7 linked regions of the Ovis aries genome follow. The protein of the gene in region 3 interacts with the protein of the main gene of each other region in a biochemical or structural test. Links are inferred from orthologs where the notes say so. Each region holds a gene or a part of one and is shown on either strand. Other genes may lie near its edges. The genes, in order: MDC1, RAD9A, TOPBP1, ATRIP, E2F1, RHNO1 and TICRR.

Evidence for each region.
Region 1: the proteins of TOPBP1 (region 3) and MDC1 are reported together in a solved structure, tested with the Homo sapiens proteins (3 studies listed by BioGRID, with this or other methods). The link is inferred for Ovis aries from reciprocal best matches to the Homo sapiens genes TOPBP1 and MDC1.
Region 2: the proteins of TOPBP1 (region 3) and RAD9A form a complex in vitro, tested with the Homo sapiens proteins (4 studies listed by BioGRID). The link is inferred for Ovis aries from reciprocal best matches to the Homo sapiens genes TOPBP1 and RAD9A.
Region 4: the proteins of TOPBP1 (region 3) and ATRIP form a complex in vitro, tested with the Homo sapiens proteins (2 studies listed by BioGRID). The link is inferred for Ovis aries from reciprocal best matches to the Homo sapiens genes TOPBP1 and ATRIP.
Region 5: the proteins of TOPBP1 (region 3) and E2F1 form a complex in vitro, tested with the Homo sapiens proteins (4 studies listed by BioGRID and IntAct). The link is inferred for Ovis aries from reciprocal best matches to the Homo sapiens genes TOPBP1 and E2F1.
Region 6: the proteins of TOPBP1 (region 3) and RHNO1 form a complex in vitro, tested with the Homo sapiens proteins (2 studies listed by BioGRID). The link is inferred for Ovis aries from reciprocal best matches to the Homo sapiens genes TOPBP1 and RHNO1.
Region 7: the proteins of TOPBP1 (region 3) and TICRR form a complex in vitro, tested with the Homo sapiens proteins (2 studies listed by BioGRID). The link is inferred for Ovis aries from reciprocal best matches to the Homo sapiens genes TOPBP1 and TICRR.

Annotation. Positions count from the first base shown.
Region 1 is NC_056073.1:27,420,074-27,424,036, reverse strand, and holds the start of MDC1 (mediator of DNA damage checkpoint protein 1), read right to left. Parts: upstream 2,801-3,963; 5' UTR 2,462-2,800; coding exon 2,420-2,461; intron 917-2,419; coding exon 775-916; intron 409-774; coding exon 28-408; intron 1-27. UniProt on the Homo sapiens protein: Histone reader protein required for checkpoint-mediated cell cycle arrest in response to DNA damage within both the S phase and G2/M phases of the cell cycle.
Region 2 is NC_056074.1:41,692,054-41,696,260, reverse strand, and holds the start of RAD9A (cell cycle checkpoint control protein RAD9A), read right to left. Parts: upstream 2,801-4,207; 5' UTR 2,683-2,800; coding exon 2,649-2,682; intron 2,567-2,648; coding exon 2,496-2,566; exon of another isoform or gene 2,483-2,495; intron 2,016-2,482; coding exon 1,887-2,015; intron 1,440-1,886; coding exon 1,325-1,439; intron 1,238-1,324; coding exon 1,138-1,237; intron 1-1,137. UniProt on the Homo sapiens protein: Component of the 9-1-1 cell-cycle checkpoint response complex that plays a major role in DNA repair. The 9-1-1 complex is recruited to DNA lesion upon damage by the RAD17-replication factor C (RFC) clamp loader complex.
Region 3 is NC_056054.1:256,378,201-256,382,483, reverse strand, and holds the start of TOPBP1 (DNA topoisomerase 2-binding protein 1), read right to left. Parts: upstream 2,801-4,283; 5' UTR 2,658-2,800; intron 2,489-2,657; exon of another isoform or gene 2,092-2,488; intron 2,019-2,091; exon of another isoform or gene 2,014-2,018; 5' UTR 2,012-2,013; coding exon 1,928-2,011; intron 1-1,927. UniProt on the Homo sapiens protein: Scaffold protein that acts as a key protein-protein adapter in DNA replication and DNA repair. Composed of multiple BRCT domains, which specifically recognize and bind phosphorylated proteins, bringing proteins together into functional combinations.
Region 4 is NC_056072.1:51,440,097-51,443,596, reverse strand, and holds part of ATRIP (ATR-interacting protein), read left to right. Parts: intron 1-361; coding exon 362-532; intron 533-2,422; coding exon 2,423-2,541; intron 2,542-3,500. UniProt on the Homo sapiens protein: Required for checkpoint signaling after DNA damage. Required for ATR expression, possibly by stabilizing the protein.
Region 5 is NC_056066.1:63,140,864-63,145,140, forward strand, and holds the start of E2F1 (transcription factor E2F1), read right to left. Parts: upstream 2,801-4,277; 5' UTR 2,668-2,800; coding exon 2,407-2,667; intron 1-2,406. UniProt on the Homo sapiens protein: Transcription activator that binds DNA cooperatively with DP proteins through the E2 recognition site, 5'-TTTC[CG]CGC-3' found in the promoter region of a number of genes whose products are involved in cell cycle regulation or in DNA replication.
Region 6 is NC_056056.1:212,723,284-212,727,228, forward strand, and holds the start of RHNO1 (RAD9, HUS1, RAD1-interacting nuclear orphan protein 1), read right to left. Parts: upstream 2,801-3,945; 5' UTR 2,652-2,800; exon of another isoform or gene 2,643-2,651; intron 1-2,642. UniProt on the Homo sapiens protein: Involved in microhomology-mediated end-joining (MMEJ) DNA repair by promoting recruitment of polymerase theta (POLQ) to DNA damage sites during mitosis.
Region 7 is NC_056071.1:20,374,774-20,377,525, reverse strand, and holds part of TICRR (treslin), read right to left. Parts: intron 2,446-2,752; coding exon 309-2,445; intron 196-308; coding exon 1-195.

The sequences.
Region 1 (3,963 bases), on a different chromosome or scaffold from region 3:
ACCCACCCTCCTGATACACAAACTTACCTACTTCTTCCTCTGAGTCCTCAGCCAACAGAAGCCTGGAGGGTTGAGTTCCTCCCTGTACCCTGGGTGTCTCCTCTACACTTAGAGGGCCCCGGGAGACAAAAGGCCGGGGGACATCCAAGCGATGGTACTGGCAGGGCAAGTCAGCAAAGAGAATCAACTCCCGGTCCCGCAAACGATGACTCACCCCAGGGCTCAGGACCTTAGGAGGCCGCAGGATTTGAGTGCCATTGAGGCTCCCGCAATCCCGAAGGACAGGCGCCTTGTCCCAGGCAGAGATTTCAATCACTGCATGTTGTTTGGATATTGATGAAAAGGGCAGGGCCACAGAGCAATCAGGCATTCGGCCTATCATGTTCTTTCCAAGGTAGAGTGGGAAGTCTAAGAATTAGAGAGGTAGGTGAGTTCCAAAGCCATACTCCTAACTTGCTATTAAGAAAAACATCTGTTAAGTTCCCCACGACTCACTCAAGGTCCCCCTCATGCATTAGAAAAATAAAAGGCCCTAGAATAACTAGCTAATAAAGAATATGTGCAATGCATTATTCATAGTCAACATTCCATCCATCTACACTGGATTGTTTCTATTGTGGTAAAATATATATAAAATTTGGGCTTCCCAAATAATAATGTCCCCAGTAAGACATTTTTTCCAGATCTCACAAATGCATATCTAAGCTTGCAATCATCCTATTACCTCCCCACAGAAATAAGAGGCCAGTACTTTAGCATGAAATTACTCCTGACCTTTTTCTGGTCCATAGGAACTACTGAAGATATGCAGCTGTGCTAGGGGCTCCAAGCTATACCCCAGAGATTCATTGGGGCTCTCTGCAACCTCCTCCTCTTCTTCAACTTCCCAGTTTAAAATCTGGGTGTCTTCCATGATCTGAGAAAAAAACACATTATCCCTTCCTTCAGTGGCTCACACACACAGCCTCAGGGAGGAGACTGGTTACTGCAGTCTCCTGGATAGCTATGGAGGCTGATGCTTCTCTTTCTGCCAATCATTCTGTTGTTATTCCTCTGAAGCATTTAAGAAATATCTCTGACCATGACACAGAATAAGAAAGAAATGTAACAGAGTTCCAAGTACAGAAATATAAGGGTCTTCCCTGGTTGTCCAGTGGCTAAGACTCTGCACTTCCACTGCTGGGGGGTGCAGGTTCCATCCTTGGTCAGGGAACTAAGATCCTGCATGGCCAAAAAACCAAAAAAAAAAAAAAAAAAAAACCACCCACAGAACACCAACAAAACAAACAAACAAAAACTGAGTTGAGAGACTTCTCTGGCGGTCCAGTGGCTAAGACTCTGTGCTCCCAATGCAGGGGGCCAGGGTGCAACGCCGGGTTAGAGAACTATAGCCCACATGCCCCAACTAAGGCCACACAGCATGTGGGATCTTAGTTCCCTAACCAGGGATTGATCCCTTGCCCCTGTAGTGGAAGCACGGAGTCCTAACCACTGGACTGCCAGAAAACTCCTTATTTTACTTTCTATTTCTCAGATAAAGAAACTGCAACAGGGATGGAGTAACAGATTTGTCTAAGATCACTCAGATAATGGGGCTTCCCTTGTGGCTCAGCTGGTGAAGAATCTCCCTGCAATGCGGGAGACCTGGGTTCAACCCCTGGGTTGGGAAGATCCCCTGGAGAAGAGAAAGGCTACACACTCCAGTACTGTGGCCTGGAGAATTCCAGGGACTGTAGAGTCAGATAAGACTGAGTATCTTTCACTCAGATAATGTCTCTTCCTGTTTAATATTCTTTGATGGTTTTCCATACCCATAGGATAAAATATATCTAAACTCCTTAGCAAGACCCTCAACGATCAGAACCTCATCTCCTGAAATGTGTGTCCCATCCCCACCCCGTCCAAGCCTGTGGTTCTACAACATGGACCTTCTCCTTAATCTCTGAACACACTGTCCTCGTTCTCTCACATCTGCAGGCCTTAGCCAGCTCCTTAGGACGTTGCCCCTAGTGTTGTGATCCAACTCCTATCCATCCTTTTAGCTCAAATGTCACTTTCGAAGCAAAGCCTTGCCTTTAGTCTTCTCTGTGTTCTGGTACTTTCCCCTATTTCCCATGTATCCTAAGTGTTTCACGGTGGTTGGTGGACTTATATTATCCTAATAGGTCTCACCATAGTGTAACTATTACATTCCATTTCTGCCTCACACATCCCCCTTGAGAACTGGACCAGTTAGAACTGTCTTTTCCCCAAGGGTCCATCATGTTAATTCAACAGTAGTTACTGTGTACCTGATACCATTAGAGATATTTCGAATACATTCATGAGTCAAACGTAAAATTAACTCTGCTCTCCTGATGAAATAATAAGATGAAAAGTCAAACTAGTATGGGTGGGAATTAAATTTGAAAGATGCTACCTTAAAGGGAAAATGTAGACAAGGAAAGTGGGACACCTCCATGGAGAAAGTGTTAACATCGTTTCATGAAGGCGAAATGAGCGGCGCCCACGACCTTCGGCTCCAATCCAATGGGCCTTCAACTTTGATCTCGATCCCAAGGGTTCCCTCTGAGCCCAACCTCTCCCAGTGTCTTCATACCTAAACTCAGGGAGGGCCGTCAAGTGAAGATGAGGGTTATAATCCGAGAAGCAAATTTCCAAGAATCCTCCGCCCAGTCGTAACCAAGGCACGCCCCTCCCGCCCTCCGGGAGAACCAAGATGGCATCCGGGGAGTCGTGGGCGAGGCCCCCCAGAACTCACCTACTTTGAGTCCCCGCGCGCGCCACCAGTAACGGCTGCGACAGGGGTGGTGCCAGTGCCTGAGCGGGGAAGGGGCTGATTAGCTGATTGGCTGAAGCCTTTGTCTTTCTCGGCCCTGCGGCAAGCAGACGGAGCAATCCAACGCGGAGGCATAGCCGGAGCCCCGCCCCCGCCCCGCCCCGCCCCCTTACGGCTCAAAGGGGCGGCTTCTCCGGGGAGACAGATCCGTTGGACGAGGCGGTAATCGGAAGCCTCGGAGGCGCACAGAATAGCGCACTTCGATTGGGCAGCTCCAAAGGGACAACCCACTGCGGTTTCACCACCCACTTCCCGCGTATATTTCCAAGTTGCGACCACAGAGTCTGGATGCCAGCAGCGGATAGAGGGGCTTACCACAGTCGTCGACCTAAGCATGTAGTGCGGCCAGAGCGCCTTCTCTGGTCCTCCCAGAAATGGTGTCCGCTGACTCATGAGAAATATAAGGGTTGCGGGCTGCAGTCGTGGCTGAAGACTTCAGTCTGGAGAATAGCCCGTAGGCGTGGCGCTTGAGGACTCACTACAATGGAAGTTCATTTCCTTTTGATTTAGCTCATCTAGAAGTCATGTCATTTCCTCCCTGAGAATCCATTCCTGATGGACACTTTGAGGTCATTATCCTAGAGTAAAGATATCTAGGCAAACGGAGAGAACTCTTTTGTTAACCATCTTAAAGGCTGACCGAGGTCTTTGAAGGGCTACAGAATGGTAAATTATTTTGCTAAATTTCATACTAAGACAATTTCACAGGAATAATTTAGGAGGACCTTTTGCATTAGTATTCTCACTTCGTTCTGACCAGAAATAAGAGTTCTGCGGAAGTTAGCTTGCCTAGGCTCCTACGGCTGTTAGAGACAAACTGAAACTGTTTAATCGTGAATTCTGAACTCTCTTCACTACCACAAAATAACTACTTTCACTGTGATTGTGCCTTCAAACATAAACATTTTAACTGGGTAGACGAGTTTTACAGAAATTTATGTTCTTTTATTTAGAAGATGAGAAATGTGTGTTGAATCCAGTGTGAATTAACACCTTGCTATCATCTAACCAAGTGCCTCATAGGTAAACAGCTCTCTTGCCAATTCAGGAGACGCAGGAGAAACGAGTTCGATCCCTGGGTCGGAAAGATTCCGCGGAGAAGGAAATGGCAACCAGCTCCAGTA
Region 2 (4,207 bases), on a different chromosome or scaffold from region 3:
ACAGAAGGCAGCAGGAAGTTCAGGCGGTTTGTGCTGAACCGAACCAGGCAGGTGGCACCTGCCCATCCAGGATTGGGAGACCAGACCCACATTGTCCGCATGAACACCGCCTTACAAAGAGTCCTCAGGTCCCTGTCTAGTAGAGACAGGCTAGTAAATAGTTTCAGGTGAAATAATACCTGGAATTTGCCTCAAGACAACTGGGACAAAGCTGGTTATCATCTGCTTTTATATGAATTTGAAATTGTCCATAAGATAAAGAGAAACAATCACTCGTTTTAAAAAAAAGAAAAATTCTCAAAACCCAGACCATGGATTGATTCTTTCTCTACCCAAAGGGATCCTAGGTAGTGCTATTTCAACAAAACTCAGAAAAACAAAGTCAGGGCTCAAAGGGACCTTCAGGTTACCAGGTCCTGCGGCTACCAAAAGCAAAGAAACGTGAGACCTTGGGTTACTTGAGTGCAAGGTGCACCCTGCACGTGGGCAGGTGGGAGGGGACCCAAGCCTCTGGTCTTCTCTAGGGACCTTGGCGTCTGCTGGGCTCCCCATCTCCCAGGTCTTGTACGGCCCCTGTGACTGCCCAGAATGGCTCCTCTCCTATAGCTGATTATTCAGGCAGCCCTCCAGGACCGTGACCTCCCTGTCCAGCCGTGGCCTGAGAACCCCTCAGGGATAGAACCCAGCCAGGTAGGAAGAGAGGCTGCCCTTGAATGGGACTCATCCCAGAAGGATGACCAGGTCAGAGAAAGGTCACAAGTCCCGGAGCCACAAAAATTAACGGACCTTCAAAGGCCAGAGGAGATGTGAGGGCAAGCCGGAGACCTGTTCTTTGAAAGAGGAGTCAGAGTGGGGCTGAGTGGTCAGAAAGCCAAGTCAGACTTTGAGGTGGAGAATACAGACTCAGGAGACAGAGAGGAACATGGGATAAGGGAGCATCTGGCCCCTCCTCACTCCAGCCTCTGCCCTTAAAGGGCCAGGCAAGGCCCTGAAAGCAAACTGGGTTGGATGAACGCTTTGAGGTTCACAGATACCCTGCAGGAAAAACGGAGGAGGTGCCTCCTTAAACTGACTCCTGAGGCTGAAAGAAGGAAGAGAAAAGCCTAGGGCTCAGCGTGCAACCAGGGGCGTGCTCACCTGGCTGGGGCACGGAGCACATGGGGACACAAGGCTGGGTCGAAGATGGCCTGCAGGGACTCGCAGTCCTGGAAGGACAGGTTGTGAGTCTTCCTCACCCCTGGATGGGCAGACAGGGTCTCAGCGGGCTCACCAACCTCTAATCCCACACCGCAAGGACCCCTGGATCAGCCAGCTGCTCACTCACCATATTTGCAGTGCAGCTGAACTACCAGGCGGCTGCTCCTGTCATTCAGGGAAATGCAGCATTTCTCCACAGTCTTTTCCAGCATTGCCAGCGAGCGGAAGACAGACAGGAAGGACTAGGCGAGGGAAACACATCCGCTCAGCACTGCGCCTCCGCCAACTGGCTCTCATGTCCAGTCGCCTTGGGCTCTGGCCCATCATGGGCTCAACACTGTCACACCAGGAAAGGACCCCTCACACATGCAGATATCTGCACCCTTCCAGGCCTTCATTTGTGCTCTTATCCTGGTCTGGAATGCCTTCAAAAGACCTGCGTATCTTTCAAGGACCAACCTGAGAGTCATTTACTCCCTGCAGGTTCCTGGCAGATTCAGCTACCCTCTCCATATGGCCCGTTACCCCCATGGATGTCTCTACTTGGCCAGGCTCTGCGTTCTGCACCGGACTGCTCCAGTATACATCTCTCCTCCTGCAGGCACCTGCTCTGTGCTCCAGAGCAAACTGCACTGCCAAGAGGGGTTCCTGGGGGGAGTGCCCTGCCACTGCTGAGGGACCCACCTCACCTTCATCAGGATCTTACAGCGCAGCTGGTCCTGCCCAGGGGTGGCAGCCTGGTACTGCTGGAAGAAGAGGGGGGCAAAGAGGAAGCAGGCGTAGGCCGAGCGGGAGGAGTTCACGGTCCGGAGGGAGAGCTGGGGCCAGGAAAAGTGGGGAGAAAGATGTGGTCACCAGCAGTGCTGGGCCCAGCCCTCAAGCCAGCTTTGCCCAGGCACTTGCCCCAAAGGCTTCTGTTCCACCATCACCTGCAGAAGCCCGCCCTTTCCTTTCAGTCATTAGGGGTGTCCTCCATGAAGCCTTCCCCGAGTCCCGAGTGGGCGTCAGCCCCGCCGTTTCCACAGCAAGGGCGCGACCCAGCCTTCAGCACCCACGCCTTTTACCTAATCACCCCCATCCACCACTGGGCATTTGAGGGAGGGCAAGGGCTCTCGATTCAGACACCGGCCTAGGAAGATGACAGGGCCCAAAGGGACACCCCAGCAACAGGGGAGGCCCCTGTTAAACTCAGCAAACGTGCCCACCGGGCACCCTGCCTGATGGGGGCGAGACTCGAGCCCCGATCAGGGCTCCCTGTTGGGACTTTCACGCCATTCCCCCATACCCGGTCTCCTCACCCCGTCTTCCAGGGGCTCCAGGTAGAGTTCGTCCCCGATGCGGGACAGGGAGTGGACGGCCTTGCCGAGCACTGCGGGGAGGAGAGAGACAGCGGTTTGCGGGCGCCTCGGGCCATCCCACGTGGTTCCAGCCCCCGGCCGGCCCCGACTCACCCTTCACGTTGCTGCCCGTGACAAGACACTTCATGCTGCCCGCAGTGACCGGGATGGGGCGGGCGGGGGGCTTTGGGCCGGACCCCAGCTCAACGATCCGCTCCGGGTCTCTCCCGCGGCTCCGGGCGGTTGGGGTTCCCTTCCCGCGCACCGCCCCCGGCAGCCCCGCCCCCGCCCTCTGATTGGGCCGCAAGCCGGCAGCTCCGTCACGTGAGAAAGACGCTCGCCGGCTGCGCCGTCACGTGACGGAGGCTGCGCCCTGGGCGGGCCCTGTCACGTGACCCGGGAGCGCCGGGTTCCTCCGTGCGGTCTAGGCCCACTCTCGGCCCTCGAGCGCCCCTGTGAAGCACGGCGGGCAGCCGGCCCCACCGCGGCCCCTCACCCGAACGCGAGACGCCCAGAGGGTGTCGGGGAGCGAACAGTGAGCTCGGAATCCGGAGATGTGCGGGCGGGCCCGGCCCGGGTCACTAATTTAGTACGGATTTCCTGGACGTTTGTCGGGCGCCGGCGGGGTGCGTACGGGGTCGATGCAAGACCGTCTCACCCCGTCCGGGCGGGCCGGGGACGCGGACAGAAGCAGCAACTGCCAGCTCCGAAAAGATAGTAACGCACCTTGCTACAGGATCCCGGGGTGGGAAGTGGCTGCTCGCCGTGGCTTCTACGATCCTTCTTTGATCCCAAAGAACAGAAGCTTCCCCGGACGAAAAGGGGTAGAAAGATTTGGCCAGCAGGAGAAGGCGAGAGTCAAGACTCAGCAGCACGTGGGGGCTCTTCCCTCCGTTGGGAGGGAAGTGGGTTTGTGAGAGGAGGGCTGCTGAATGATGAAGGTCACTGATGGAAAGCACTGGAAACATTTTATGAGGATAGACTCCTGCGTCTCTGGCCGTTGGAAAATGACCAAGAGAGGGTGCCAAAAGAGGGGCTTAGTTAATCCCTGGGTCGGGAAGATCCCCTGGAAGAGGAAATGGCAACGCACCCCAGTGTTCTTGCCCAGAAAATCCCATGGACCGAGGAGTCTGGCGGGCTACAGTCCATGGGGTCACAAAGGGTGCGACACGACTGGCGCCGGTGGGACACAGCAGTCAGCCTGGCAGGTCTTCCCTCGTCCGCAGCCTCGGTCCGCAGGTGTGCGAAGAGGAGGGCAAGTCACGGAGGGGCTCCTGGCCTCTGGTTTCTTGCAGCACCTGGTGTGCTTTGAGGGACCCTTGGGCACCCCTGCGTTCCTTTAGGGCCTTGCTCCTCTGGCAGTGTTGCCAGTGAGGAAGCCACGTTTGTGGGACCGTTACCCTCCTGCTCCTGGTCTGCAATTCTGGACTCCACTTCCTCTCCTTACGTCAGGTTTCCTCCCTTATCAGGTTTCCCTGGATTACTGGGGGAGATTATTCTTGCCTTTTAAGGGGGTCAGTGTAAATGGTACCACTTCTACGCAGGCATTTAGGTCAGTAAACTGGGACTCATCCTTGACTCCATCCTGACCCACCTCTTACATACTGCAATCCTTCAGCAAGCCTGAGCGCTCTGCCTCCTAAACAGATGGCAACTTGGTCCTCCTCTCCCAT
Region 3 (4,283 bases):
AATCCATCTCAAATCCAGCCTTCTTCCCATCAAAAGGAACCATCATCTCTCACGTGGCCTGAGCAGGAGTCTCCAAAGGGGTTCCTTCTCATCCTTTGCCCTAAATCTATTCTCCACACAGCAGCTACTAATCTTTTCAACAATACAAATCAGGTCATATCACTCTGCTGAAAACCTCCAGCAGCTTCCCACCACACTCAAAATAAAATCTTCATTTCTTACAATCACCTATAAGACCACAGAGTCTGGCCATTGCCTGTCTCTGTCTCCCCATGCTTACTTCTTCCTCTAATCCCTTTTGCTCACTCTTCTCTAGCCACTCCTGCTTTCTTTCCAGACCTGGAACAAGCTAAGTATGACCTCATTTAGAGGTTTTGCACCCCCCCCCCCCCCCACTGCTACCTGGAACACTCTTCCCCCAGGACTTCACCTGACTTGTTTCACTTCAACCACATCTGCTCACATGTCACTTCCTCAGAGATGCTTTTCCTGATCACACTTTTCTAAAATATTCTTTCCCTATTTTATGAAGAAAACAACATAGATATAGTATTATGTATACTAGCATATATAGCATACATAATATTATATATACATATATACACAGTTTTTGTCTCTCTCCCTTGTAAGAAGAATGTTTTGTGATCTATCTTGTTTGGCAACATATCCTGGCTCCCAATAAGCACTCAAATATTTTCTTAACAAATTCTGAAGTCCTTTCATTAAATACTTAGGGTGATCCTTTTAAAACGATTAAGTCAGATCATATACTCTTCTGATTAAACTCCCCCAGTGGCTCTCCATCTCACCGTAAGAAAAAGCCAAAGTCCTTAAAAGAGACCACAAGGCCCTCATGACCTCTTTATTCTTATTCTCTGAACCAAACCTTAGCATTCATCCCACATCTCCTGTTCACACTACACTACAGCCACAATAAAGCAGGACAGACACTGCAAGCACCTTCCCAGGGCCTGTGTATGATTATTTCCTCTGCCTGAAACTGAAACCTTCCCCACATATTAACATGGCTCATTATCTCACCTCCTTCAAGTATTTACAAATATCAACTTCTCCACAGAGAATATCACACTATATTTAAAATAAATTGTAAACTTCCCTTCTTCCTTAACAAACATCTTCTGGAATGTTTTAACTTGTTTTGCATTTCTCCTCCCACAGCACTTTGCAGCTTTAACATACTATATATTACACACTGATATATCTGACTAGTTTATTTCCTATAGCTATAATAGAATGTAAACTCTGAGAAAGTATGGATCTTTGCCTGCTCTCATTATCTAAATGTATCCCACGTATTTGAACAGTGCTTATCAGATGATGAACACAATTATTTGCTGAATGAACTTAAAAGAAAAACCTGCTACAAGTGTTTCTTTCTTTTCTTTTTTTTTTTACAAGTGTTTCTTAAACATACATAAGATCTTGTTAAAAAGTAGATTCCAATCAGTGAGTCTGAGCTGGGGTCCAATTTCTCAGGCCACGGTGATGCTACTGGGGGAGACACTACCCCTACATCCTCCCACATGAAACTATATAATGAAACATACTTTTAACAATTAACAACAACAAAAACAAAAAATGAAGTGTAACCAATATAGGACTGCCTCAAGTTTTTTCAACACACAAAGGTCTATGGTTAGTAGACAAAAGAAAACTACTTAATTTCTAAGACTACCAGGCCCATCACTTTCAATATAAATGTCAGTAAAGATTTCAATCCCCCCAAAATACATGATATACTAATATCAATTCAAGAGTGTGTTAATAATGAGGTATCTATGAATGTAGACTAGAGTAAAACTATTATGAAAATAAAATAACCATGACTAAGACATAAAAGGCCTAAGTCAAAAACACTAGAAACAAGAAAATGAATTCACAGCAAGACATTGTCAAGTAGTCTTACCTCAAGAGCTTTAAAAAAACATTCAGAATTGTCTGAAGACTTTAAAAACTTCACAAAAAACGGTTCTTTGTCATTTTTGGACATTTCTGAACTGTCAAAATAAAGGAACCATTAACAAGAGTAAAAACACATTACGTACAAAGTTAAATGTTTAAAGCACCTACTTTTCTGTGCAAATAAGAATGTCGAAGGACAAACATTCTGGTCTTGCCCATGAATTCGTCCATTATGGTTTGTAAGAAACAGTGGAATGTGGACAAAATCAAGGGAAAAGATGACAACAACCAGTCTTCGTAAATCAAAATACGAAATTAATGTTGCTAAACTGAATTCATCGAGGACTTTTGCTCTGGAGCTCTAAGTCTCCTAAGTCGATGGTCATTCAATTTCATTTAGCTTGAGAATGCTCAGAACGATTAGGTCCCTGAGGTCATCTGCGGCCCTCAAGATAGGTTAAGCCCTCAGTAAACGAACTTTACATATAAACATGAAAGCCAGCCATTAAAGTTAGGGCCCTAAAAGGCTAGATGCTCTCGCTTCGCAGCTGCCAGGGGAAAGTCCGATTATCGGTCCTGCCCCAGTCACGTGCTCTCCGCTGTCCCATCCACCGGTCCGGGGACCGGTTACAAGGTCCGGAATCCAGGGCCCCTAAGGCCAGAGGCGGCGTCGAGGACCCCTCCCCCTTGCGAGGTGGGGAGGGAGCGGGGTGCTCACTCTGAGCTTCACTCACCTCGGTGGAGGCAGGGGATCTCCGGGCCGCGAGTAGGGGGCCGCGCGGCACGCGGGACTGCGGCTGGGGTCGGGCGCCAGCCCGGCGCACACCCGCCGCACCCAGCGGCGCCCCCAACCAAAGCAAACGCAGACCCGGAAGTTGCCGAACCGCGAACCGACTTTCGCGCCAACCGCGCGGTCTTGCCCGTCCCTTCCGGCGGAAGTGACGCTACGACAACTGCAGCGGGGGAGGGCGGAGACAAAAGAAAGCGGCGGTGCTGGTTGGTTCCCACCCGGAGGCTTAGGTGTTCCCGGAAGGCTGTGGCAGAAGCTTCGGCTCAGGAGCTGGAAGGGCGGGTCTTACCTTTGCTGGGAATTGGCGAAGCGCTGAGGGCTAGGGCTTTGGGGCGGCGGGTCGGAGGTATTTTAGAGCAGGAGTTCGCAACTCCAGGGCCAGGGAAGGTTAGTGGTGGAAGCAGAGCCGCTCCCCATTTCTCGCGTTGCCTTCTGAACGGCCGAGCTCCCCTTGCCCTGGGAAAAATTGTCTTTTACTAAACCGGTCCCTAGTGACAAAAAATGTTGGGGACTGATGCCTCAGAGCAGACCCTAACATATCAAAAAATAAAGACAGGTAAAAGAGGGTTTCTTTAATAGTTTATGCTGAGACACCATATGTTACCTAAAACAACTCTGGGAGGCGAATACTGATTTGTATTTACAAATGTAAAAACAGGCTTAGGAAAATTAAATGAAGTGTTCGAGGTCACAGTAAGTGGTAGAAGTTTAAGACTGCACCCAAGTCTTTTTGACTCCATGGACTGGTGGACTGGATTATTTTCCTCCAGTATAGCCCAAATGTGCTCACCAGCTACAACAGCCAAGGGTCTAAAGAAAAGAAAGACGTCAGGATGACGTGAATGACATGCCTGGTGCGTAGGAGGTCTTTGCCAACTTCAGTAGTGCCCTCCAGGACTAACACCCTATTCTCCCACCTCGCTACTCCCACCTCGCTACCCCCAACCCGTGAGCATCTCATTTTTTTCTCTGTAGCTTCCCAAGTGTTGGGCAGATTGTGGGATGGAACCTAATGTTCAAATGGCAAAGGTGTGGGGAGAGGAGGTGAAATAGGATTGTAGGACCTCTGGCTTGTTGATGGCCAATGAAAAACTGCTTGGTCAGCGTTTCTCCTCATTTTATTCTTGACTGTTGGGAGTGAGAAAATCATGATTTGAGTAACCTGAGAGTTTAATGATCTGTACCTTGGTTTTTTAAAATGTCTAAAGATGGAAGATATGATGGTCATCTGAGTTAAATTCACCCATTCCAGTCCATTTTAGTTCACTGATTCCTAAAATGTCGATGTTCACCCTTGCCATCTCTTGTTTGACCACTTCCAATTTGCCTTGATTCATGGACCTGACATTCCAGGTTCCTATGCAATATTGCTCTTTACAGCATCAGATCTTGCTTCTATCACCAGTCACATCCACAGCTGGGTATTGTTTTTGCTTTGGCTCCATCCCTTCATTCTTTCTCAAGTTATTTCTCCACTGATTTCCAGTAGCATATTGGGCACCTAATGACCTGGGGAGTTCCTCTTTCAGTATCCTATCATTTTGCCTTTTCATACTGTTCATGGGGTTCT
Region 4 (3,500 bases), on a different chromosome or scaffold from region 3:
TACTGAGATATTTATAGCATGTGTCTTATAGAAGAAACACAACATCATAATGGTTGCTATTTTCATTAAGTTTTGCAAAAAAGCAGACATCTTTCATATGACTATCTATAGGTCCCTAGGACCTTAGGAATGTGCATGCAGAAGTGACAAGTACGTCCTTAAGCTATTTGCTGAAAACCTGCTGTCCCAGGAATGGACCTAGCAGGTCATGGTCTGGTTGGCATGGATGTATTCTGAGCTCTTATTGATCCTTTGGACATGTTTTAAATGTGTTTCTTCATCTCCCCAGCTACATATTGAAATAAGTGCATATGTAATTTTCCCTTACAAACCTTTCACAAGATCAATTTGGAATTTCCAGATGAAGGCAATGGAAGAAGAAGTGCTCATTAAAAACGGAGAAATTAAAATTTTGCGGGACTCATTGCATCAGACAGAATCCATTCTAGAGGAACAGAGAAGATCTCATTTCCTTCTTGAGCAAGAGAAAACTCAAGCACTCAGTGAAAAAGAAAAGGAATTCTCCAAAAAGGTGACCCAGAGATATGTTTTGCTTGTATGGACATCAGCTTTGCCTGCTTACTGATTTCCTTTGGAAGCAATGCCTAAAGTTGCTTATAAATCTCCCAGGAAGATTTCAGCAGTTGTTTGTTGAAAATACTTTTGCCACCAACTAATTATATGTACTTTTCTTTGAGGCTCTGTGGCTTGGAAAAGGACATAGATGAAATTCTGCTTTGCTGTGGTTGCCTAAGTCACTGGCTAACACTTTGCAGAAACAGGCTTAAATTATGCTTTTTTTTTCTTTTGGGCAGATCAGAAACTCAACTGACCTAGCTTAGGCCAAACAAACAAACAAAAAAAGGACTGCCTTCTGTAACTAAGTCTGGGGAAAACAGATGTACTGCAGTCTCAAATGACTTGAGATTTACCAGGACTCATCTTTATTCTCTGTACTGTTGATAAATTCCATCCTTATGGCTGAGGATGTTTTCTCTAGGAGCTCCAGGGCTCATATTTCACAGCTCCAGAACAGACTGAAGACTTAGAGGTCCTCATCTCAAGTTTTAAAATTCTGGGGAAGGCCCTAACTGGTCTAATCTGAGTCAGGTGCGTGGCCCGGAACTAGTCACTGGAACCAAAGAGATAATAGCTCCCATTCAAATCATATATTCAAAGGCAGGAAAATGATGTTTCTTAGGGGACGGAGCTTCTGTTGTGGGGAGAAAAACTGGGTGCCAGGTATATAGTACTTTCCTTCACTTCCCAAATAAGGACATGGGTTTTACTCTGCCATTACATCATTCAGCAAACTTGGTAATCTTTGAAGAAGCGCTGACCTGTGCCTAACACTAACAGCAGTAGTTGCTTTTCCATATGCATAGTGACCAAGGGAGGTACCAACAAGCCAGAGATTGAAGCCAGGCTTTATCACATTCAAGCGGTGGCCTCAGGGCGATCAGTCCTGCACTATGACTCATCTCCTTTATCTGTTCCCGAAAATAACCAGAAGAGTTGTTGTGAAACTTAAATGGTCCTGCACTTGTGTCTGGTGCCATGCCTGGCATGGACCATGCTCAGGGAATGGCAGCAGTTACTGTCGGCCAGAGCAGCAGGTCTCCCCACACTGCTCAGGGTTTTGGTAAAACTATTCCAGATTCTCAGCCCAGAACTTCAGGAAGACCTGGATTGTGTACCACCATGTTCCCTGGGGGCTCAGGGGTAAAGAACCCACTTGCCAGTGCAGGAGCCATGAGTTTGATCCCTAGGTCGGGAAGATCCCCTGGAGGAGGAAATGGCAACCCATTCCAGTATTCTTGCCTGGGAAATCCCATGGACAGATGAGCCTGGGGGGCTCCAGTCCATGGGGTCGCAAAAAGTCAAACACGACTGAGCGACTAAACCACAACAACATGTTCACTACAAGGTCTCCATGTTACTGTGAGATACTGCACCTTAGCAAGCTTTGTGCTGGGCATTTTACAGTTACATTCTTACTTAATCCCCCCAATCATGAAGACAGGTATTTATCTTACACATCAGCTGAAGTTCAGAGAGGCCGAGTAAATGGTGTTTGAATTCTCACATACCACCTAGCAATAAGCAGGTCAAAATATCTTTCTAGAATACCATGCCATCTTTCAGTAAGAAAGCTAAAACTTGATATTTTAGGACATTTATGTCACAGCAGACTTTTATACTATTTCTCATTGTTTGTTTTTCTTTTACTAGCTGGAGATTTTTGAAGCCCAGAACTATTTTTTATTGGTGGTGGTGGTGGGATCCTTGTTCCTAGACCAGGGATCAAACCTGGACCGCTTGCATTGGAAACATGGAATTTTAACCACTGGGCTGCCAGGGCAGTCCCCCAGAGCTGTTTCTGTAAATGTGATGAGACCTCTATATTTCTTTTGCCTTCCAGCTCCAGTCCTTGCAGTCTGAACTCCAGTTTAAAGATGCAGAGATGAATGAATTAAGAACGAAGCTTCAGAGCAGTGAACGAGCTAATAAACTAGCTGTACCCACCGGTTCCCACATCAGGTAATGATGGCGCTAGCGGGGGGAAACAGTTATCGTTTCCTAAAAAGTCTGAATGACAGTATCAGGCTAGTCGTGAACAAAGGTCATTTAGACTCTGCTACTGCGGCACAGATCCTCTTTTCCAGAGACCTCAAAGGTGGTTCAGATGAGGCTGGAATGGTTTGGGGGATTGTAGCATAAGGGTCCCACATTCTCTGAAAGTGCCTTCTTCCTGTAGGACTTTATAAACACAACTCCTCAGGATGAGAAAAGGCTGGAAAGATGACCTCTAGAGTTTTAGGGTAGACCAGTCTTCGTTTTTATGTAATTTGTTTCAGATACGTGATTTTCTCCCAACTGTATGTCAGTCCCAATTGCTTAGAACATTTTTTCTCATTTGCTGCCCAATGGCCCCCACCTTTGCTGCAGATATAAGCAGTTTGTTAATGTCTGTCCTGTGAGAAGTCTGTCAGTATCAGCCTTGAAACTTGAACAGTGTGAGTCAGGTCGTCTTTTTCTGGTTTTCAGCATTCTGCTGCCTTTGCTTATAATGGGCAGGGTATGAAACTGAACTCTTTAGGCCATACATAGTCCAGGTAAGACAGAGGACAGCAGAAGGAATCCATCCTTACCTCTTCACACTTTACTCACAGGACGGCCTCAGCATTGTCTGATCTAATCAGAGGCTTAAGACTGCTTCTCTAACATAAAAACCCTGGTACCAAGGGACCGGCCGTTTCCTAGTTGCAAGAAACAACACACCTCGCACTAGATGCTCTTTCTACCGAAAATCTTTTAATTCAGTCCCTGGGTATTAAAAAAGAGGTTGTTGTAAACTAGTGGTTACAGTGGGGAGAGGGACAATATAAGGGAAGGGGAGTAAGAGGTACAAACTATTAGGTATAAAATAAGCTACAAGTATATACTGCAAACCAAAGGGAATGTAGCCAATATTTTATAATAACTATAAATGAAGTATA
Region 5 (4,277 bases), on a different chromosome or scaffold from region 3:
CCACTTTCTCTGCTTCAGTTTGTATTATTATAGAATCCATTTCAAGAGTAACCTTGGTATCAGGGTGAGGACCATGAGGAATTGCTGCCTTGTCTCTAAAGTGGGGATGATGTGCTATCGGAACACAGGAAGAGAAAAAAGAAAAAATGGATGGGGCTGGGGATCTTGTCCCCCTCAACTTTCGCATCTCTTCCATAGTAAATATGCATTACATCCAGTTTGTTTTTTAAGAGCCATGACAACAGGGGAGATGTGGACCGGAAGAGCCAGGAGGAATGGTTGAATTGCACAGAGCCTTGTAGGCAGGAGGTACTCAATGAATGCTCACTTGTGCAGAAGCTGAGCCTGTAGCTTGTTTCAAGGACTGCCCCCAAACAAATGCTAGTGCAGAGGGTGAGTGGAGGCCACAGCTCAGATAGCCAGTGGCTACTCACAGGTACAATGTTAGGAGGTGTTGCACAGCAAAAGCTGGGCCCATGTTTCTGAACTACAGCAGCAAGGTGGTACTGGGCCCTACTCCTGCTCACGGCAGAAAACACGTACTAGCCCTTAAGTACTGTGACGGCAGAGGCTCTTTACGTGCCTGTGCCTAGAACCTCAGAGGCACTCACTAACAACTGCTGAATGAATGGAATGCTCAGACCCAGTGAGGCTGCCCCTGACACCCTGGGTGTGGAGCAGAGGGCAAACTTCCTGATCCCAGTCCCTGGCTGTCCCTCTAAGCCTGAAGCTCCATTGCCCAAGGGCAGGACCTGGGCCTAAGCACCTGTCCATCAGCTAAATGGAGGCTACTCGATCAGGCTCCAAGCTGGTACCTGCAGGGACAGGTTGCTGGGGTATAGGAGACCAATCAGGGGACCCACCCTGTGCAACTTCCCTCCCTCTCACTCATTTGGAGGAAGGGACCCTGGGCTTCCTACAATCTCTATTAGCATCTCCAGGAAGTAAGGCATGCCAGCAGTTAACCACTCAGGAAATCTGGTCTGGTCCCACCACTCATGAGCTGACTCACCAGGGAAGGTTCTAACATCTCTAAGCCTCAGCTTCCCTATCTGTAAAACGGGAAAGCTGTTGACAGGGTTAAATGAGTTAATTGGGTAAAGTGCTTGGCACATGGCCTAACTCACAAAACAGTCTCAAAACAATGGTGCCTCCTATTGTTATTATTAGCATCTCAGTGATTCCGGAAGGAAGGATGTACTGGGCAGGGGGCCAAAGGGGTCGGGGGAACCTTGTTGGGATGTCTCAGGGACCAGCTGCTACCCAGGCCTCCATCAGCAGCTGGGCTTCCACCTCCTTGCCCTGGGCCCTGCCTCCCTGCCTCAACTTGCTCAGCCAACTGTGCTGAGACCCCATCCTGCCTGCCCATCCATGCCCTAACTTTACCCACAGGCTGCACCAGTCAAACTGGTCTCCACGCCCTGTCCTGCAGCCCACAGGACCAAGCTCTAGGCCTCCGCCCCCTCCTTCCCCCCACCTCCTAATTCAGACACCTCTCTGGGCCCCCTAGTCTCAACTGTCTTTAGCCTCTCGCTGTGCAGGGAGCACTTTATCAAGGGATATCCCTGGGGCATTTACTCTCTCCTGGTACTGGGGGCCTCCTCACCAGCTCCCAGAGGCCTAGCCCACCCAGGACTTCCACTGGGGCCCGGGGGTCTGCCTGCCTGATTAATGAGGTTCCATGGCAACCAGGGCCTGGGAGGGTGGAGGGTGGCAGATGGAAGGACAGGCAGAGGGAGGGGATCAGCAGCTGGCCCAGTTACCCCCGCCCCTGCAGAGAAGGCCTCCCAGCCAGGCAGCCTGTCCCCAGAGGCCCGGAGGGCCAGGCCTGCACCTGGCAGTCCCAGAGGCAGGAAGGAGGGTCTCCTCAATGGCTCTTCTACGGACTGGTCCCAGAACACCCCACTTTGACCTCCCCAAGCAGCCATGCCCACCACCCAGCCACAAGTTATGGTCTGAAGCCAGAAGGCCTCAGTTTAAATCCCACTTGCAGCCTTGTGACCAGGGGGCAAGCCACTTCCCGTCTCTGGGCACAGTTCAGATGGGCACAGTGACAACACCGAGCTCACAGCATGGATGTGAGTTTTAGCTGCCTTGAAGTCAGCCAAAGGCCTGGCATGCAGTCAGCGACAGCTGAATACACGTGGACCATTATTATCATTGAGTCTGCTCCGGCGAGGAAGCTGAGGCCCACAGCACAGAGCAGCAAACAAGGACTGGCCCGAGGTCACCCCGCACCCCAGGGCGGAGCCCCGAGGCCCAACCCAGGCTCGGCACCGCCCAGCCTGGACGCCTCAGCCCACCCTCCCCCGCCCCCGCTGCCGCCGGGCCAAACATTGCGCCCCGCCCGGGTCTGCGCAGGGGTCCAAGGCAGCGCACTCAGCCCAGTGTCCCTGATGTCCGTACCGGCGGGCGGCCGAGCGCGGGGCGCGGCGCGCTGGGTGTGGGCCGGGGCGCCTGCGGCGTGGCGAAGAGCAGCAGGTCAGGGTCCCGGGGGCCGGCGGCCGGTGCGGCGGGGCCGGCGGGGGCCGGCGGGGCGCTGGCGTCCTGCGCGGTGGAGATGATGACGATCTGCGAGGAGTCGAGCAGCCGCAGCGCGCCGGCCCCGAGCAAGGCCTCCAGCGCCGGCGCGCAAGGGCCGCCCGCGGGGGCCCCGGCCACGGCCATGGCGCTCACGGCCCGCGCGGCCCGGGTGGCAGTCGGCGGCGGCGGCGCGGGCCCATGGCGGCAGGCCGAGGCGAGGGCTAGATCCCGCTCCGGATCCCGCTCCGCCCCCGGCCGCCGCTGCCTGCAAAGTCCCGGCCACTTTTACGCGCCAAATCCTTTTTGCCGCGAAAGAGCCACGAGCCGCCGAGCGCTACCACCATTGGCTGCCCGGACTGTGACGGAGGCGACGGCGACGTCACCCATTGGCTGCAGCGCGCCGGTCCGGCGGCGGAGGGCGGGACGGGGCGGCGGCGCGAGGGAGCACGACCAATCGGGGGTCGGGGCGCGCGCAGGCTTTGTCGGGGCGGTGCCAGGCGCGTTCGCACTCCCCGCCCTCAGAGGGGACGGCCCCTGTCCGAGGAGTGGTGGCCCCACCCCCTCCCCGACGCACCCCCATCTGGCCGATGCCTGTAAGTTGAGGACAGAATGTCCATTAAGCATATCTCAACGTCAGCAGACCCCACGTGACCCCGATAACTCTCACCTGTGGCCCCGACACTCTCGGCCAGATCTCTAGAAACTGCCCCTCCTCTCTTCTCGGTTCTCAGGCCCACCTCCAAGCTCCGGCCACTTCTCCCTCAACTTCCGTCACCAAAGCCGTTCACTTTCAAATCGTGTGCCCACCCTATTCCTCTCACCCAGAGCCCAAGCAAAAGGGAGCTGTCAGAAAACGGGGAGGGATATCTGGACCAATACAGCTCTGGGCTTTTCTACAAGCCCTCCTATAGCTGGAAACTCCAGTACCCTATGCACAACTTCTGCGTGAACTGATTCACTCGTTCAACAAACGTTTTGAGAGCCGGCTCTAAGCCCCATTCTTGACTCTTGGCGCTAAGGAACTCACAGTTTAGTGAAAAAGGGAAGAGAGAAACAGGTACAAGCATTTACAACATGATGTGGAATTTTCACTATTAATTCCATGTTAGATCTCACAAAGGGAGGAGGTGAGTATGCTGAGCATGAAAATGCATTTAATCCGGAGGCCCTGGGACCTCTCCATCAGCCATTTCTCATTGCTCAGATCAGCTGATTTGAGCAGTACTGTCCCCTCCTCTATGCCAGGCTCTGTGCCAGCACTAAGGGCAGAGATGCAAAAGGCTTGATGATTTCTATGAACTTGCCTGCCATCTGGTGGGGACTGACCCATCAGGGGAAAAAAAAACACTAAGACGCAGTCAAGAATGAGATCCCTAGGCCCCATATAAATATCACTTCTTCCAGGGAACACTCAAGTATTGAAGTTACTCGCTTCCTCCACTGTCCACCCCCACTTCTGTTCCAGCACTGAGCGGGCACACTGGATCTCTTTATCTGCTTTCCTTATCAGACTGGGAGCTCCAATAGGGCCTCTTCCCAGCACTGGCCTGGTCCACAGTAGGTGCAGAGAAGGACTGTAAAAAGAAACAGGCTCACACTGGAGGCTACCTGGAATGTCCCAGGTCTCAGAATCACCTGGGTGCTTGTTAACTATGGGCCCACCCCATCCCTGCCAATTTAGAATCTAAGTGCCCAGGCATCATTTTCACAAGCAAACCCCTACTCTCATGCCAGGTGATTTTTATGTACGTTCA
Region 6 (3,945 bases), on a different chromosome or scaffold from region 3:
CCGTCTACGGGGTCGCACAGGGTTGGACACGACTGAAGCGACTTAGCAGCAGCAGGATGTAATATGGGGCTTCCCAGGTGGCACCAGTGGTAAAGAACCCACTTGCCAATGCAGGGAAATGTAAGAGAGAGATGTGGGTTCAATCTCTGGATCAAGAGGATCCCCTGGAGGAGGGCATGGCAACCGACTCCAGTATTCTTGCCTGGACAATCCCATGAACAGAGGAGACAAGTGGGCTACAGTCCATGGAGCTACAGTTCATGTACAGTCAATGGGCTATAGTTGTGTAAGAGTCAGACACGACTGAAGCGACTTAGCACACACACACAGAATGTAACATACACTGTGGTCACTATAGTCAGTATTGTATTTCAAATCTGAAAGTTGCCAAGAAAATAAACTTAAAAGTTTTCATCACAGGACTTCCCTGGTGGTCTAGTGACTAAGACTCCACACTCCCAATGCAGGGGCCTAGGTTCGATCCCTGGTCAAGAAACTAGATCCCACATGATGCGACTAAGACCCAGCATAGCCAAATACATTAAAATATATATATATATTTTAAAGTTCTCGTGACAAGGGAAAAGATTTTTGTCACTACAGTGACGGGTGGTAACTAGACTTACTGTGACCATTTTGCAATGTATAATAAATACCAAATCATTATGTTGTACACCTAAAACTAACATAATGTTCTATGACAATTATACTTGTGGAGGGGTGGAGCTTAGATGTGTGGGATTCAGTGATATAGTTCAGGATTAAATGTGGGATCACAATCAATGGCAATCTATTTTTGAGACTTGTTAGATGCAACTCAAAATTTGATAAAAGCATTCCTCCTGTGTGAAAAATAATACTATTACCCTACCCTTCTCTCCCTCTCTCCACCACCCTTCAGGTTCCAATAATTATGGCCTGGGATAATGCAGTAGTCTAACTGGTCTACCCTAACCTCTGGCACCCCCTGCAGGGGAATGTTTTGGAAATGCAAAGCTGATCTCCACTCCCTCCTGTCTGAAACAATTGTTTGGGGCAAGAAGGAAACTCCTCCGTGGTGGCTGAGGCCCTGTTGCTCTGGCTCCAGTGTCATCGCCCACAGTCCACCCTTGTCCCTTAGCTCAAACCCCTCAGATGTCTTCTTCAGCCTTTGTGCTGCCCTTGCTTCCTCCTGTCATGTGGTCCTTCAGTTCAGTCGCTCAGTGCTGTCTGACTCTTCAACCCCATGAATCGCAGCACCCCAGGCCTCCCTGTCCATCACCAACTCCCGGAGTTCACTCAGATTCACGTGCATCGAGTCCGTGATGCCATCCAGCCATCTCATCCTCTGTCGTCCCCTTCTCCTCTTGCCCCCAAATCCCTCCCCAGCATCAGGGTCTTTTCCAATGAGTCAACTCTTCGCATGAGGTGGCCAAAGTACTGGAGTTTCAGCTTTAGCATCATTCCTTCCAAAGAACACCCAGGACTGATCTCCTTTAGAATGGACTGGTTGGATCTCCTTGCAGTCCAAGGGACTCTCAGGAGTCTTCTCCAACACCACAGTTCAAAAGCATCAGTTCTTTGGCGCTCAGATTTCTTCACAGTCCAACTCTCCCATCCATACACGACTACTGGAAAAATCATAGCCTTGACTAGACGGACCTTTGTTGGCAAAGTAATGTCTCTGCTTTTCAATATGCTATCTAGGTTGGTCATAACTTTCCTTCCAAGGAGTAAGCGTCTTTGTACCCCCTCAATTCCCTTGTCCTGGAGTGTCTCCTTCCCTTGTTTGCATAACGGCATCCGATCTCAGACCAAGCTTTAGTTAATCAGAAATGCCTTTCTGGGTACCTCCCTGGGGGAGGCGGGGGGTGAGGTTCAGCGGCTGAGACTCTGCGCTCCCAATGCAGGGGGCCCGGGTGAACTAGATGCCCCAGGCTACAGCTAAGACCTGGTGCAGCCAAACAAATAAATATTTTAAAAAGAAAGAAAGAAAAGAAATGCCTTTCTCACCTAACTTAAGGCAAGATCTCCTTATTTACATACTCAGTTATCCCTGAGCTGTTATCACTTCACAGTAGTAATTCTTCATTTGCTTAAATATGCAATTCGACGGGAGCTCGTGTGAGCCCCTCTTACCTCCCTACAGACTGCAAGCTCGGGAGAAAAACCACCGCATCTCGCCCCGCCACTGCATCCCAGAGCCGCCCCGCACATGGCCGACGCTCAACTAAAAACGTGCTAAATAAGAAAACAAAGTCCATCACTACAAAGAAAAGACTGCGAGGGACGGGGCGGGAGATCAGAGATCCAAGATTCCAAGCGGAGGCGAAGGTCCGCGGCGTGCGCGGTCATTTTTAAGAAGGAGGGAACCAGAGCGAGGGGGTCGTAACCCCCTTCGGGCTGCTCGGGGAGCCAGGGCGCTCGCTGCCCGGGAGGTCGACGGCGGACAGTACCCCCGCAGCGAGGAACCGGGGACGCGGGGAGAGCACGGGGCGGACGGTGGGAGAGCACGGGGCGGCCGGGGGTCCCTACTGTCCCCCGAGGTCCCTCGCGTCCCGCCACCGCGGAGCCCTCCTGCGCCCTCCCCCCACGAGCCTTCGGCCCCACCCGCCGCCACTCGGCCCGGCCGCCCGGTCCGCACTCCGCTCTGCCCGTCTCACCGGCCTCACCCGCCGCCGATCAGTCCGCCCTGCCTGCCCGCGGAAGCAAACGATCCGCCCGCCCACCTCGCCGGCCCCGCGGCGCCACCTCACCTGCCCGTCCCGCCGTCGCCGCCGCCGATACGCCCGCCTCTCCCGCCCTCCGGGCCCGGAGCCCCGCCCGCCGCCGGCGTCCCGGCCGAACGCGGATACAAAGCCGGCGCTGATTGGTCACGCTCGTCACGTGACCGCAACGCTCCGCCGGCGCCAATTTCAAACAGCGGAACAAACTGAAAGCCCCAGAGCGGGACCCCACCCCCGGCCCGGGCCTGGGACACCCTCCCCCCCTCCCCTCCCCCGCCGGGATCCCGGGATTCCCCGCCCCGCAGCCGGGGTCGCGGCCCGGCCCGCAGGTCGGAGCAGCGCCGAGCCGCCCGGAGCCGGCGGTGCAGCGAGGTGAGTGGGCGGCGGGCTGGAGGCCCGGGGCCGGCGGGCGCGGAGAGCTGGCTCCAGCCGGGGGGTTGGGGGGACTGGCAACAGTGCGCCGCGCTGTTGCATCCAGCCTCCCGGCCCCCCACCCCCCCTCACCTCTCCCACTGAGCCCCCCTAGCCTTTCATCTGGGTCTGGGGTCCTTCTAAGCTTACTGCGCTGGTTGCCGCGGCTCGCATACTCCCCTGAGCCCAGGTGCTCTTCCTTCTAGGTAACCCAGTCTCCACTCCGCCCTGTCCCAGGACCCTCCTCCGGGTTCCGGAGACCCCCGCAGCCTTGCTCTGGTCTGGATAGGGGTGAGTCCCCGGGAGCCGCCTCGGAAATCTCCGGGCTAGAAAGTGCTGGCAATGGTAGCAAGTAAGCTGGTCAGAGTAGAAGGAAAAATTAAGACGCATTAGACCAGGAAAATATCTTTCTGGGGGGGAGGAAGAAATACTAGCATCTACTGATTTGATGGGTGGAGGGAGGAAGGGAGGGCGGAAGAGATAGGAGGTGGAAGTAAAACTGAGATTTGAAGGTAGAGGAAACCTAGATATAAAGGGAAGGGAGGCGGCAGAGTGGAAAGGGTCTGTGACCTCGAAGCAGATGGCAAATATCAGACGAGCGTGACAGTCATTTCTAGGGAAATTGCAGATATTCTAAAGAAGAGGCAGACAGTTACTCTGTCTCTCAAAGTACCTCTCAGCAGAATTTCACTACTTCGCACAATGGTAGAGTATGCCATGGATCTGTCAAAATCAACAACACACAATTTTTAAAAGATAAAACTCGTCCTTAATGCACAGCACTAGTCAGGAGACAAGGATTATAGTCTTGGTTCTGGAAGAGAAGTTA
Region 7 (2,752 bases), on a different chromosome or scaffold from region 3:
CAACTGCCTGAAAACCCCGGAGGTAACTTGAGATCGAGCTAACCAAAGGACAGATCTCCAACAAATTACCTCTGGCGTCTTTACGCTGAGAGGAGGGTGTCTTCCCCTGGAACAGCAGTGGAGAGTGGGTCAGCGCCTGCAGCCCGCTGGCAGAGAGGCAGCTCCGCATAGCACAGCCGGGAGGCGGGGTGGCACCTGGAGCGATGGTACGGTCAGTGCAGCCCACGGCCCCGACAATGAAGCCCGAGCCTTCCCGCCGCATCCCCTTGGTGCCGCCATGCCCACACAGCTCGACACAGCAAACTCACCTGGGACGGACGCCTCGTCGTCTGCCGCAGAGGGCAACTGGCGAATGCTTGTGCCTGGAGACTGCTCTTCCGAGTCTCCCTGCGGGTCACAGGCCCTCTTTACTTGTCGTTCAGCCTCCTCCTTAGCAGAGAGGCATCTCTTCCTAGACCCCAACCCAAACTGTCCCCAGGAGGCCTCCTCAGCCTTGGGCGCGCTGTCCCTGGGAGGCGACTGGTCTGGCAGCTGACACACGCCCTCTAGCTCAAAATCCCCCAGGATGGGGGGTCTGCCGATGCCAAGTTCCAGGCCTCGCTCCTTGCCCTCTGACTCCAGTGGTGACAGTCGCCCGGGAAGGTCGGCACTGACCTCGCTCCTCCCAGCAGAGGGGCCGAGGCTGCAGTCCACCGCCCTCTTTCTGCGGGGCCAGTCTTTAATTGTGTCAGGAGTCGTCTTCCCACTGTGCTTGGGGGATGGGGTCCAAGGAACCCCAACCTCTGTCTGGAACGGAGAGGGGGTACCACAGGGGCAGCGGGTGGGGGTGCATGACTGGCAGATATAGGTCTGTCCCCCACTCTTGCCTGGGGTGCTATGGGAGGGACGAAGGCAGGGGGCCGACAGGCAGGTGGCTTCGGGTTTGCCTGAGGACTTGCTGGCCTTGGGCACACTGGGACCAAGGAGGGAGCTCTCCTCCCTTGGTGGGGGCTCGGCTTCTGACAAAGAGCTGGAGTCTATCTTTTTAATTCGAAGCTTGGGGAGGCCAGAAGCTTGCATCTCCAGCTCAACCTCATAGGCCTGCGAGCTGGCAGGGGCTCTACAGGGCCAGGTTGAAGCCTGCTGGTCCTCTAGCTGCGTGGCCGCCTGGCGCTGCTTTGTGTCTGCCATGCAGTGCAGGTCGTAGGGGGGCATCAGGGGAGAGCGGGACTCAGAGGAAGGAGAGGTGGGAGGAATCCCGGGGTCACACGGAGACGGCTTCTCACATGTACCCATCCTTAACCCCTCATCTTCGTCCAGGGGTGAAATGCTGCTTTTTAAGTTATCATGGCCATGGTGCTCAGCTTCATCCAGGAGAGTGAGACAGTCCGAGTCTGTTGCAATAAGCAAGGGAGAGGATGTATGCCAGTCACTCCCAAAGCCAGTTCCAGGGTAAGGTGGAAGTTCAGGCGAAGCTGGAGAAGAGAGGGTCGCTGCCTTCTGGTTCTTTCCAGCATCTGTGATGGCAGCTGGGTTGTCAGTTATGGCAACCCTCAGAGCAGCCAAGCTGTCAGGCTGGCCCTCCAGGAAGTCTCGTTCTGTTCCCGAGGTCTTTTTATGCCGTTTCCCATGTTTGGAAGGGGGCGGAGGGGGCCAGAGGTCAGACGGAGCTACCTGTGAGGCACTGGGGGGTGTCAAGGGAGCAGAACAGGAGGGAGGTGTGGTGATGCTGGGTGATTTCTGGACCTCTTGCCAGCCCACTTGTCCAGACGAAGGAGATGCCATGGGAAATTCCCCAAGTGAACTCTTTTTGGAAATACCACGTGAAGGAGAGGTAATAGCTTTTTTTGGAAAAGTCAGAGCTGCGTTCCCTGGTCTCTCTGGGGTTTTGACAGCTTTGTTACTGCAAGGCTGCGGCAGCTTCTCTGCCTGGGGTGCTCCAGAGCCTCGGGGGGGCTGGTGTTTCTGACTTGGAGATGTGCCCTCGGAAGCGGCTTGTCTCTGGAGCCCCAAGGCTGCTGTCCTGGGAGGTGCTTGAGCAGAGGATCTGCTAGGGGTCAGACAGACACTCCTGGTCTGGGCAGTTGATGAAACCAGGGCTGCTGGACAGGAGGTGCTTTCCAGACTGGAGTCCGCCAAGCGTGGCCAAGAAGAATTCTGCAAAAATCTGGGGGGCTGGCCACCTTGTCTCTGGGGAGTTCTCGGTACCTTTTCAAGAGGAGAGGCACCTTCTGCCAGGGAGTGTCCTTTCCGAGGGGTGACTTTTGGTTGCGATGGTGAATCCCAGCCATGTGGAGAGAAGTCTTTCGAGAATTCCTTAAAAATGACCTGTTTGGCAGGGGTCATTTCCGCAGGGGATTTCTGCAGCCTTTCCGGGGTGTGCAGTGGAGTCTGTGGTGTCCGAGGGACCTTTCTTGGTGTGGCTTTATAAGAACTTGGAGACTTCCAGTAACTCTTCTCAGGCGTCTGTAAAGAAAGATGCTTATTTCAGTGCTTTGAACATCATAACCCATAGTCTCGGAAATGTTTTAATGATCTCTAAGAAGATTAAAAACTCCAGTGGGAGGTTTCTTATCAGCCAAAGGAATGATAAGTTGGATTTCATACAGTGACATGTTTCCAGTTCCAAAACATGACCCAGATTTTACTTGTCAACTTTTTCTAGCACTAAGCACTGTATCCAAGCTTCATTTCTTCTAAGACAAATTGTTTTAATAATTTGCACACTACAGTGAAAATATGCTTTGCCTCTGTATCACTGCACTCACTACTC